3 linked regions of the Macaca mulatta genome follow. The protein of the gene in region 3 interacts with the protein of the main gene of each other region in a pairwise test. Links are inferred from orthologs where the notes say so. Each region holds a gene or a part of one and is shown on either strand. Other genes may lie near its edges. The genes, in order: GJA4, VAPA and OPRM1.

Region 1 (4,484 bases), on a different chromosome or scaffold from region 3:
TGAGGAAGGAGTCAGAGCAGGGTGAGGGCAGCCTTGACGTCACTCCCGGCCCTCCACTGGTTCTTCCCTCCTTCCCAGTAGACGGAATCAGAAAGGCTTTGGGAGAGCTGGGCCCAGCCCCAAGAGAGGAAAACTTGGGAGTGAGCAGAGGCTGCAGTGGGGGCGTGGTGAGAACCAGCCTCCAGGGGCCTCGGTTCTCATGCCCTCAAGGGTCAGAACTAAGTGGGGCAGTTGTTAGCTTCAGAGATCCAGGAGACTCAGTTCAGCCTGGCCCTGATGGAGAGACCTAGAGGGGAAGCCAGCTCAGCCAGATCACCCAGGGCAGCTAGCCCTGAAGTTCTCAGGTCTGTGTGTCCCCAAAGATGTCCTCCTGCTGGTCCCGAAGACAGACCAGGGACCCAGCCCTGGGGCCCAGGGAATCCAAGGACTAAATCTTGCTGTGGAGGAAAAGGGACTTCTGTGTCATCAGCCCCAGGCCTCAACAGCCCCCTGCCAACTTCCCTTTCCTCAGCTGTGCCCGCCCCTACCACCGTCCAAGAACAACCCACAGACCCTTTTTGTTACAGTATCACAATGTTTTTAGCCACCACTCACTTGAAAAACTTTAGGTACCACTATTACACTATGTGCTTTGATCACACTGTATGCTGTCAACCCCACAAAGTAGGTATTATCACTATCCTCATTCTGCAGAGGAAGAAATTGAGGCACAGGGATTTGAGTAACTTGCCTAAGGGTGCAGGAGTCAACAGCAAAGTCTCAACTCTTAGGCTCAGCCACCAAGAAAGTCTCAGCACTCTGAGGGCGGTGTCCAGTCTCAGAACCCCACAGCTCCAGGCCCTCAAGCCACACTCATGCCGCCCCTCTACCTAGAATGTTCTTCCCCTCCACTTGGTTAATGGAGGGGGAAAAGCATTTCCTCTCCTCCAGGAAATGTTCCTAACCAAGTCCCCTGGGAATCACCCAGTACCTCCCAGGAGAACTTTCCACATTTATTATCTTACCGTTATCCAAGGGCTGATATGCTCAATCCCTGCACCAGCCAGTGAGGGAGGAGGCCAGATATCACGTTTGGCTGGTTCCTCGTGGTATCCCAGGTCCCCAAGCAGCGGCTGCAGAACAGCAGACACTCATTGATATTCATCCACCTGTGATGCCTGAATGCATGACAGCAGGCTCTGCATAGCCCTTTCACTCCTATGAATGTCCCCCGCACCACCCGGCCACCATTTAGAGGCATACCAATGGGTCCAAGCTAAAGGTCAGGTGGTTCCCCTACCCCCAGTCTCAAGGAGTCCATGGGACTCGCTTAATGGCCTCCGATTGTGTAGCCTGCCCAGGCATGGGGATGTTTGAGAATTCTGGAAGAACGTGGGCTGGGTGTGGGTAGAGACCCCAGCTCCACCACGTATGCGGGAAGCGTGGATTACAACCCCTGTCCCCCATTGGAGCTTCCCGCGCCGTAATTAGCCTTGAACGCCTCATCCTGGCACACTAGGGCCACCTAGCAAATGAGTGGTTCCCACACCCCGTCCCCATCCGCCCACCCCTCACAGCACCCCAGGCCAGTTGCCCAGATCAACAGCTCTTACTGCAACCCTTTCAAATCCAGATCCCCTAAGAGATCCTGGCCTGGGAGAACTCCTCTTCCCTGGCCAAAGAAACGACAGGAGAGTTTACCATCTGGAATACCTGGTGGAGAGAGAACAGGAGAGGAAGGGTAGGTCAGCCCCTCTTGCCCCTCCCCACCGCAAATCACAGGCCCACCTCCCCGGAGTGGGTTTAGGGAGTCTGCACCTCCCAGTCCCCGCCCCCGCCCTCTCTCCGGCCCCCGCCGCCCTCCCCGTCGCGTTTCCTGCCCCCACCCCGCCCCTCTGCGCTATTTAAGGCGCCCCCGCCGCCCGTGCGGTCCAGCAGGGCTCCCGCGGGCGTCGCTCCGGCCATCGTCCCCACCTCCACCTGGGCCACCCGGCAGGCAGGCGGTGAGTCGGGGGCTAGGAGGGGACCGGGGGTGCCACCTGCTCGCGGGAGGCCGGGCGGAGTCTTGGGTCCTCCGAGGCCGGGACGGGGGTTGCTGCGGAACGCCCGCCGCGACAGAGCCGCGCTCACCCAGGTGGCCTTGGCCAGGCTCCCACCCTCTTTCCATGGAATCCTTATAACAACCCGAGGCGGTAGGAATACTATTGTTTCCACTCTACCATGGAGGAGACTGAGGCGCCCAGAGGTTGTTCCTTATCCAAGGGGCCGCAGTTTCTAAAAGCCAAGATTTGAACCCAGGGCCACTTCCAGAGCCTGGCTCTAAACAGCTTTGCACTTGGGAAGAGGCACCTCCCTCTTGGGAACTTTGTGGCCTGTGCCTCACCCTGCAATAACAATTCCTTTCAAGAGTCTAGAATTTGCCAGCATCAGCTTTGGAGATGGAAGGGGGTGGGAGTGGAGGTGGACGAAGAAGACAGGACCAAGTGTCCCTCCTCAAGTGGCAGGTGGTCATTATTGCTGACCGGTGGAGCTAAAGGATGATGCTGCCTTCAGCTCCTAAAACCCCTCCCGCCTCCCAGCCCCTGCAGGCTCAAAGATTAGAGTGAAGCCAGCTGGGTAAGATATGAAGCAGGGAGCAGGGACCGGAGGCTTTGAGCCCCCTAAGAAGCAGAAGATAACACCTCTACCATCAGCACCAGCCCCCACTGTCTGGGGGCAGCCAGCCTTGGCTAAAAGGGAGGAAGGGCTTAGCCCAGCTGCACAACCTTGGATATATTCCTCAAATTCTGTTCCCACAGGCAAAGGAGCCTCAATTCCACCCAGATTTCCTTGGTCTGTGTCCATCCTAGGGCAGTGGCTTGGGGACAAGAGGGATATCGATGTCTGATTAGGCAGGGACCTTAGCCAAAGCAGAATGAGACCATACAAAGAGGTTGACAGCCATCATCCAAAGATCTGCTTTGGGTCCTGCCTGCACTGCTGAGTGGGAGCCTCCAGGCCAGTCCTTCCCCTTCCTGAGCCTGGGTTTCTATGTAGGTAGAACGGGCATGGCAGACCTCCCTGCAGGCTTGTTGCTGGGCGAACGAGAAGGATGCCATGCTAACATGCTGATGTGCTCTGTCTCCTTGCAGACGGAGGCCCGGGAGCCATGGGTGACTGGGGCTTCCTGGAGAAGCTGCTGGACCAGGTCCAGGAGCACTCGACCGTGGTGGGCAAGATCTGGCTGACGGTGCTCTTCATCTTCCGCATCCTCATCCTGGGCCTAGCCGGCGAGTCAGTGTGGGGTGACGAGCAGTCAGATTTCGAGTGTAACACGGCCCAGCCAGGCTGCACCAACGTCTGCTATGACCAGGCCTTCCCCATCTCCCACATCCGCTACTGGGTGCTGCAGTTCCTCTTCGTCAGCACGCCCACCCTGGTCTACCTGGGCCATGTCATTTACCTGTCTCGGCGAGAAGAGCGGCTACGGCAGAAGGAGGGGGAGCTGCGGGCACTGCCAGCCAAGGACCCACAGGTGGAGCGGGCACTGGCGGCCGTAGAGCGTCAGATGGCCAAGATCTCGGTGGCGGAAGATGGTCGCCTGCGCATCCGCGGAGCGCTGATGGGCACCTATGTGGCCAGCGTGCTCTGCAAGAGCGTGCTAGAGGCAGGCTTCCTCTATGGCCAGTGGCGCCTGTACGGCTGGACCATGGAGCCCGTGTTTGTGTGCCAGCGAGCACCCTGCCCCTACCTCGTGGACTGCTTTGTCTCTCGCCCCACGGAGAAAACCATCTTCATCATCTTCATGTTGGTGGTTGGACTCATCTCCCTGGTGCTTAACCTGCTGGAGTTGGTGCACCTGCTGTGTCGCTGCCTCAGCCGGGGAATGAGGGCACGGCAGGGCCAAGACGCACCCCCGACCCAGGGTACCTCCTCAGACCCTTACACGGACCAGGTCTTCTTCTACCTCCCCATGGGCCAGGGCCCCTCATCCCCGCCATGCCCCACCTACAATGGGCTCTCATCCAGCGAGCAGAACTGGGCCAACCTGACCACGGAGGAGAGGCTGGCTTCTTCCAGGCCCCCTCTCTTCCTGGACCCACCCCCTCAGAATGACCGAAAATCCCCCAGTCGCCCCAGCAGCTCTGCTTCTAAGAAGCAGTATGTATAGAGGCCTGGGGCTTATGTCACCCAACAGAGGGGTCCTGAGAAGTCTGGCTGCCTGGGATGCCCCCTGCCCCCTCCTGGAAGGCTCTGCAGAGATGACTGGGCTGGGGAAGCAGATGCTTGCTGGCCATGGAGCCTCATTGCAAGTTGTTCTTGAACACCTGAGGCCTTCCTGGTGCCACCAGGCACTATGGCTTCCTCTCCAGAACGTGGCTTTGCCTGAGCACAGACAGAGTCAGCATGGGATGCTCTGGCCTTTCGCAGCTGATCCAGAGGGACCCAGAGCCAACTTACCCCAACCTCACCCTATGGAACAGTTGCCTGTGTGCAGGTTGTCCTCAAACCCTCCCCTCACAGGA
Region 2 (3,706 bases), on a different chromosome or scaffold from region 3:
TTTATTTTTTTTTGTTTTTTTGAGATTTGCTCTTATTGCCCAGGCTGGAGTGCAACAGTGTGATCTCGCTCACTGCAACCTCTGCCTCCCAGGTTCAAGTGATTCTCCTGCCTCAGCCTCCCAAGTAGCTGGGATTGCAGGCACCCGCCACCACACCCAGATAATTTTTGTATTTTTAATAGAGACAGGGGTTTCACCACGTTGGCCAGGCTGGTTTCGAACTCCTGACCTCAGGTGATCCACACACCTCGGCCTCCCAAAGTGCTGGGATTACAGGTGTGAGCCACCGTGCCCAGCACAGCTTTTTTGTTTTACTTTTCCAACAGCAGAATCATCTCTCAAATAAAATCTCATACAGAACATTAGCATACAAAGAGCAGAAACCAGGAATAAAGTCTCTCTCACTTCCCTGGTTCATTCTTCCTATTTTCCAGACCTGCCCCACCTGTCACTCCTACTGTTTACACTCTCCCCTCCATGCCAGAGGTAAACAGTGGCTTTTGAAAGAAATCTATTGAGCACCCTAAGGAGCACATCTTTATCAAAGAACAGAACTATGGAAGTCATGGCAGATCAAGTAAAAGTAACCAACAAAATCCTTTAAAAGATCCATGGTGTGTAGGTGTGAAATAAAGATATTCTTCCCGCTATCCAGACAAGCACTTGGAAGCAGAGGGGTACCCCTCAAGGGGGTACTATGAAGTATCAAACATGAAGAGACACAAAAATTCACTTTAAAAAGCATTTCAGCAAAGGAGTTCACAGATCGACTTAAGATACAGTGTTCAGAGTGCAGTTCCTATATACACCTAACAAAAGGAATAATCAAATAACTCCCATCATTTAGCTTATTTTAGTTACATATATTTTTGTATCATCTACGTTGCTGCAAAGAGCTTCAGACAAAGCCTAAAGAGCAACATATAGGAATTCAGGTCTTGAAACAATTACTTGTCAATGACAAGTATTATTCATAAATTTCACACATATTCAAATCGGTCCTCCTTCACCATCCATTTATTCAATCAAATATATGACTACTACACACATGTACGGCGAATGCAAAGAGAAATGAAACACTGCCCCTGTCCCCAAGGAAATTACTGCCCACTAGAGGGAGAAAGGCCTCTAACAAGTAAGAGCAGTAGAATGCAATCGGCATAGTGGTGGCACAAAGCAGACAGGACAAATCGATTTTTTTTTCTTTTGGAGAGGGTCCCAGCAAACGCTATACTGAAAAATCAACAAGAATATAGTAGCAAGACATTAATATGTGTATGTGCTGTGTCGGGAGGGACAGGGTTCTGAGCCTTTCCAGTCACAGTGAAGAGCTGATACTAAAGCGAAAGAGGGGTGATAAACAGATGCTTCTCCAGCATACTCCAGCCCAACGCTGCCCCACGCCAATATGTGAGCTTCAAATGTGACCCCATATGTAACGTTAAATTTTCCAATAGTACATTTAAAAAGTAAAAAGAAATGTGTAAAATTCATTTTAATAATATATTCAATTCAACCCAATATACCCAAACTACTATTTCAGTATGTAACCATTAAAAAAAGAAAAATTTACCTTTTTCTGTACTAACTCTTCAACATCAGTATTTTACACTCAACAGCACAGCTCAATTTGAACAAATCCCATTTCAAGCGCTCAACAGTCCTAGGTGACTAATGGCTATGATGTGGGACAACACAATCCTAGTTCAGTGTGACTGGGGCACAAAATGGGAAGGACAGGAGAAACAAGAGCTGAAGCTGGCAATGCTGCAGGCCAGATCACAAATGATTAGAATGTGTGCTAAGGTAAGGAACCTGTGGCAATGAGAAACCACAGGAAGACTTTTAAGAGAGGAGTAGGGTGGGGAGCAAAGGTCAGGACATAATCAAATTGGGGAAAACAAGAAAGAACTGACCAAGGATAAATTTAAAAACTAATTGCTAAAATGGCCTAATAACACTCACATGTCCTATACCTTCATTTAAATCAACTTATTTTCAACCAACAGAACTTACTCTCAGGTGTCGATTTTCTTCTGACAGCTTCATCATTTCTCCCTGAAGTCTTTTACACTCTTCCATTAGTTTCCTTGTTTCAGTATCATTAAGTGAAACACTGTGTGGTTTTGGCATAGGTCCATCTTGTTTAGATGCATTCAGTGGAACGGTTTTGCTAGGTTCCATGTCATTCTGTATTACAAAGATATTGAGATTTTTTTTACCAAATCTTCTTACAGGTTTTAAACAAACAAAAACATAAATTCTACATCTTTGTTTATGAAAAACTCTTTAAAAGGCCTAAATCAGTACATGCCAGCAGTCAGATTAGTCTAAATAACGAGCCCACTCCCTCTATTCCCATAACCGCTGGCATGTACGTCTACCATAGCACTTTATTATGTATCTTAATAATTATTGTTCAAGTTCTTTCCTATAACACTTCAAAGGCTGGGAAAGCAAGAGCCATCTCTCTTTGTATTTACCCCTAAAACCAGCACTTTGGTCAAGAGTAGTTATTCAATCCAAGTATGCTGAATGACTGACGTCAACAAAATCCAAATACGAAGGTCATTTTCCATGCTCTGGTTCTGCAATTCAAATAAGGTTCTGGGGCGTAGGGGGATATTATTGCAATCATTCCAATAAAATTAGAAACTACCTAAGAAAAAACATGCCAAAAAAGCTAACTTCTATTATCATCTTAGTAATGCTGTTTGCTTTAATCCACGTGATTCAACATCACAGTAAAAATTAGCATGCTCTGAAGACTATGAGCCCCAAAATCTTAATCCTAACCAACACTGAACCATTTGAAGTTAGTGTTGAAGGCCTGGAGATAAATATCTATGACAGCATCTACATATTCTTCAGCCTGTGGTCTGAAGTACCCCAACATCCTTCACTCTAACAGCATTTATGTCACTACACATAGTAGCAGTATTAGAGTAACAAGTTTTTTCATTTTAATTAAATTTTTACTTGCTTTAAAATAATTTTAGAAAAAATCTGCTTTTTCAGCTATAAACTGCTAACAAAGACATTTACAAAATCAACTTTATGGCATTCCACAATACTCATTTTATAAGATTTATCAGAGGCTGCACACCTACCACACCATCCCAGCTGCCAAATTTATATTAAGTATAAACAGATTGTTTGCTCAAAGGGCAAAACTTGTTCTTCTTATGAAGGGGATGTGATTTGATTACTATGCCTAAATCCATGTAAAATCTATTTAAAAATGAAAATTTATAATGAGGTTCTAATCAACAACAGTATGTATTTGACCTGTCGGCAGATTCTTCCATTTTTCTTCAAGCTTCCCAGTTAAGAAAGGTTTAAATTAAAGAAGCATACTTCAATTCTTTCTCTGAGTTTTTCTCTTGCCAGCTTTTTTGTTCTTCACCCCAATCTCTTCCACCCCAATCTAATAATAGCCACCTCTACTATTAAAACACTGCTTCAGATATATCTTACCCTGCCAATACATTTTCCTATTATTTTCCTTAATAGTAGTTAGAACTCATTTCAAAATGATTTTCAGTGTAGTCAAATTCTATCCTAACACAAATCCAACTTCTGATAATGAAGTTGGCACACTGACTTCCTTTATAAAGGAGGTGGCAATGGCCACCAATATGGCAACAGAAGAACTTCTAGGTTTCAGTTAAGAATTGGGAAAAAGTATCATACCCATACCAGAAAA
Region 3 (3,706 bases):
GACTCCACGTAATGGATGTTTTCACTTCATTTTTTGATAGATTGTTCAATATTCTGATATTAGGTGTAGAAAGACAAATTTGCCATGTAATCAGCCACTTGAAAATTTTCAACAAGCCTCAGTGTAATACTCTTTGGGTTTAAGCTCCAATTACTCTTGGGAGAGCTATATTCTAATTTACACACCATTTTTATGAAGTAAATACAGAGAAATCAGAAATAAATAGATTATATTCACTTTAAAGGGTTTAATAGGCCTAAAATTATGAGGAAAATTCCAATTTTAAAGTATTCAAAGGCATTTTTTTTTACTAGAAAGAATAATTAAAATTACAATTTGACTAAGATGATGGACCTCTCTATAAATACTACTTTGCTTATGACATCACCGTATCAGGCTGTGAACCCTCCATCCCTCAGGCTGGTAACATCACTCACCTTGCCTGTATTTTGTTGTAGCCATGAACATTACAGGAAGACCAATGGCTGAAGAGAGGATCCAGTTGCAGACATTGATAATTTTGGCATTTCGGGGAGTACGGAAATCTAAGGCCTTGACAGGGTGGCAGACTGCAATGTATCGATCAACACTCATGGTGCAGAGGGTGAATATGCTGGTGAACATATTATAGTAATCTATGGAGATCACGATCTTGCAAAGGATGGTTCCAAATGGCCATGTTCCCATTAGGTAATTCACACTCTGGAAGGGGAGGGTACTGGTGACTAAGGCATCTGCCAGAGCAAGGTTGAAAATGTAGATGTTGGTGGCAGTCTTCATTTTGGTGTATCTAGGAGATAAAGGAAGAAGAGTGTCCGAGTCAGTAAAAGACACTCATGTAAAATACAGGTAAGCTTCCAATAATAAATTTGCATGAATTAATAGAAAGCTTTTTTGAGATTCGATATAGAATTATTTTCCAGTATTAGCTTGGCTATTTACAATGATGTCAATGATGTGCCTATGGGCTGAATAGCTGTAATAATAGCAATGATGCTGCTTTGTTGAGGGTTTTTTTTTTTTTTTTTTTTTTTTTTATAGATATGATCTTGCCCTGTTACCCAGGCTGGAATATAAAGGTATGAACAGGGCTCACTACAGCTTCAACCTCCTGGGCTCAAGAGATCCTCTTGCCTCAGCCTCCTGAGTAGCTGGGAGGTGCATGCTACCATACCCTGTTAATTTAAAAAAACTGTTGTAGGGATAGGGTCTTAACATGTTGCTCAGGCTGGTCTTGAACTCCTGGGCTCAATCAATCCTCTCTCCTCAGCCTCCCAAAATGTTGGGATTACAGGCATGAGCACACAGTGAGGTTTTTTGTTTTTTGGTATTGTGTCAGTCATTGTGATAGGTCCAATAGAAAGAGGGAGATTCCAGTCAAGTAGTAGAGGCAGTGACTGGATAGTAATTGTAAATATAAAAGAGAAAATTTTAGCTATATAAATATAGTTAAAATTATCAAGAATTATAATTGTGCACGTCTGTAGATAGTATGTACACGAACACATGCACATACAAACACACAGGATATTATGAAGCACAGAGATGAGGCAACTCACAGAGCATAAGGCAAAGGGAATAGCAGGAGTAAGATGTGGAAGTCATCCTGGAAGTGCAAATTTAATCTCGAAGTACAAGTAGGATGATTGAGTTAGACACTTGGTAGGAGCAGGTCATTCTAGACAGAGAGGTAACAGAGAGAACCCCAACAAAGGTGTAGAGTTGGAGTGACCTGAGGTGTGTGTCAAGCACATTCTACCAGGGAATAGCAACGGATCTGACTGGGGAAAAAGAGAGGCCAGTACCTGAAGAACTTGTATGTCATGGTAAGAAAATTAGACTGTATCCAATCCATGATGAGGAACCCAAGTGTGTTTGCTTTGTTTTTATTTTTTAATGCTTTATTGAGGTAGAACTGACCTACATTAAATAACACATAATTAAAGTGTACAACTTGATGAGCTTTGATACATGTGTACACCTGTGAAACCACCACCATAATTAAGATCAGAGATTGGCAAACTATGGTGTGTAGATCCAACTGGGCCACTGCCTGTTTTTATAAATAGTTTTATTGGAACACGGATACACCCATTTAAAAACCCATGAGTGTTTTGATGCTACAATGGCAGAGTTCAATAATTGCAACAGAGATCAGATCACATGCAAAGCCTAAGTTACTTACTATCTTGCACTTTACAGAAAAAAAGTCAACTCCTGATCAAGACAATGACATCAATTGCCCCCAAAAGTGTCTTTGTGTAGCTCTTTAATCTTTCCTTTTTGCCCCTCCCTGTCCTCATATCCCACCCTCACTGTTCCTTAGGCAATTGCCAATCTTGGTTTTCTTTCTGTTCTTGTAGATTAGTTTGCATTTCCTAGAAGATGCAAACAGAATCATTCAGTATGTACTCTTTTTTTGTGCTGCTTCTTTCACTCAGTGTAATTATTTTGAGATTCATCCATGTTGTTGCATATAACAAGAAATAATTCCTTTTTATTGGCAAGTAGTATTACTTATCCACTCTTCTGTTTTTTAATCCATTCACCTATCAATGGGAACTGAGTTGCATATAACTTTTGGATGTTACAAATAAACTGTTTATAATCATTCTTGTGCAAGTCTTTATATGCTTTTCTTTCTCCTGGATAAGTATCTAGAAGTGTCATATGCTTTCAAGGCCTGCAGAAATTAGAAATATGATAGTAGAATGGATAAGCAGGTACACTTGCAATAATATATTATATCTGATGGCAGAAGTATACCTTGCAAATATTGGACATCAATTTTTTTTTTTTTAAGATTCCACATATATTTACCTTCATTTAGTAATAGTACCTCAGTTTCACTCTGGGAACCACTCATTTCCCATTCTCAGTCCAGGTGCTTTGTGATGGGCTCTATTATTAGTCCAGGGCGTGAAGATGTTCAGTGACTGGGGCTATGGTGAATGGCAAGGATGGTCTCATGTTCCAACCAGAGCCAGTGAGAGTTTATTTTGAGACTTACGGAGAAAGAGTGTAGTAGTTTTCCTGCAGGACCCACACCTGAGAAGATGTATGGTATGTAGTTGCTGGAGGAGCTTGTCTGAAAATGGACCTAATCCAGAGGATGTGGATTTGAGAGAATGAGAGAGAACCCCATACCTCAAGCCAGGCCCTTCTTGGGCTTCTGATTTACATGGTGCCATCAATTCCTTTTAAATGTTAGCTGTGTTTACTATTTTTCCATCACACGAGGTTGAGTCTAACTCATTCAGTCCAAGACGGCTGTTGGTTGGAGGCCCTTTCTTTCGGACTGAATTCTGTGTACAGGAAAGTGTTCTGGTTTCAATAACATCAGGAAAGTGATTTCATAAATCTCCTCAGGGTCAATAGGGTGGCTTTGTTACTGAAGCTTTAAAATTCTGATACCTGATCCGGTCTGCAATACTTGCAGAAGTTGCATTACTGCCAGAAAAGCTCCACATTTTCAGGGCTTTTTTTTTTTTTTCTTGACTTGCTTTAGAAGTTTCACTCTCTGAATGGATTTTAAAGAAAAAGGTAGAGCCATTTAACTTGAGGAGAGAAAATAATGTGATTTTAGTTTGGACTCTAAATATGGCAAATATAAAAAGATAATGTAGACAAATACTCCAAAGTACAAAAACTAACAAAAAAGCAAAATGAAAACTATGGTTTTAAGATTTAGAATAATTCAACTTGG

What was found.
Region 1: the proteins of OPRM1 (region 3) and GJA4 interact in binary tests that used the Homo sapiens proteins (3 or more experiments, as listed by UniProt). The link is inferred for Macaca mulatta from reciprocal best matches to the Homo sapiens genes OPRM1 and GJA4.
Region 2: the proteins of OPRM1 (region 3) and VAPA interact in binary tests that used the Homo sapiens proteins (3 or more experiments, as listed by UniProt). The link is inferred for Macaca mulatta from reciprocal best matches to the Homo sapiens genes OPRM1 and VAPA.

Annotation. Positions count from the first base shown.
Region 1 is NC_133406.1:206,049,878-206,054,361, reverse strand, and holds the start of GJA4 (gap junction alpha-4 protein), read left to right. Parts: upstream 1-1,618; 5' UTR 1,619-1,720; intron 1,721-1,815; exon of another isoform or gene 1,816-1,982; intron 1,983-3,110; 5' UTR 3,111-3,127; coding exon 3,128-4,129; 3' UTR 4,130-4,484. UniProt on the Homo sapiens protein: One gap junction consists of a cluster of closely packed pairs of transmembrane channels, the connexons, through which materials of low MW diffuse from one cell to a neighboring cell.
Region 2 is NC_133423.1:80,910,791-80,914,496, reverse strand, and holds part of VAPA (vesicle-associated membrane protein-associated protein A), read right to left. Parts: intron 2,191-3,706; coding exon 2,017-2,190; intron 1-2,016. UniProt on the Homo sapiens protein: Endoplasmic reticulum (ER)-anchored protein that mediates the formation of contact sites between the ER and endosomes via interaction with FFAT motif-containing proteins such as STARD3 or WDR44.
Region 3 is NC_133409.1:72,905,325-72,909,030, reverse strand, and holds part of OPRM1 (mu-type opioid receptor), read right to left. Parts: intron 791-3,706; coding exon 438-790; intron 1-437. UniProt on the Homo sapiens protein: Receptor for endogenous opioids such as beta-endorphin and endomorphin. Receptor for natural and synthetic opioids including morphine, heroin, DAMGO, fentanyl, etorphine, buprenorphin and methadone.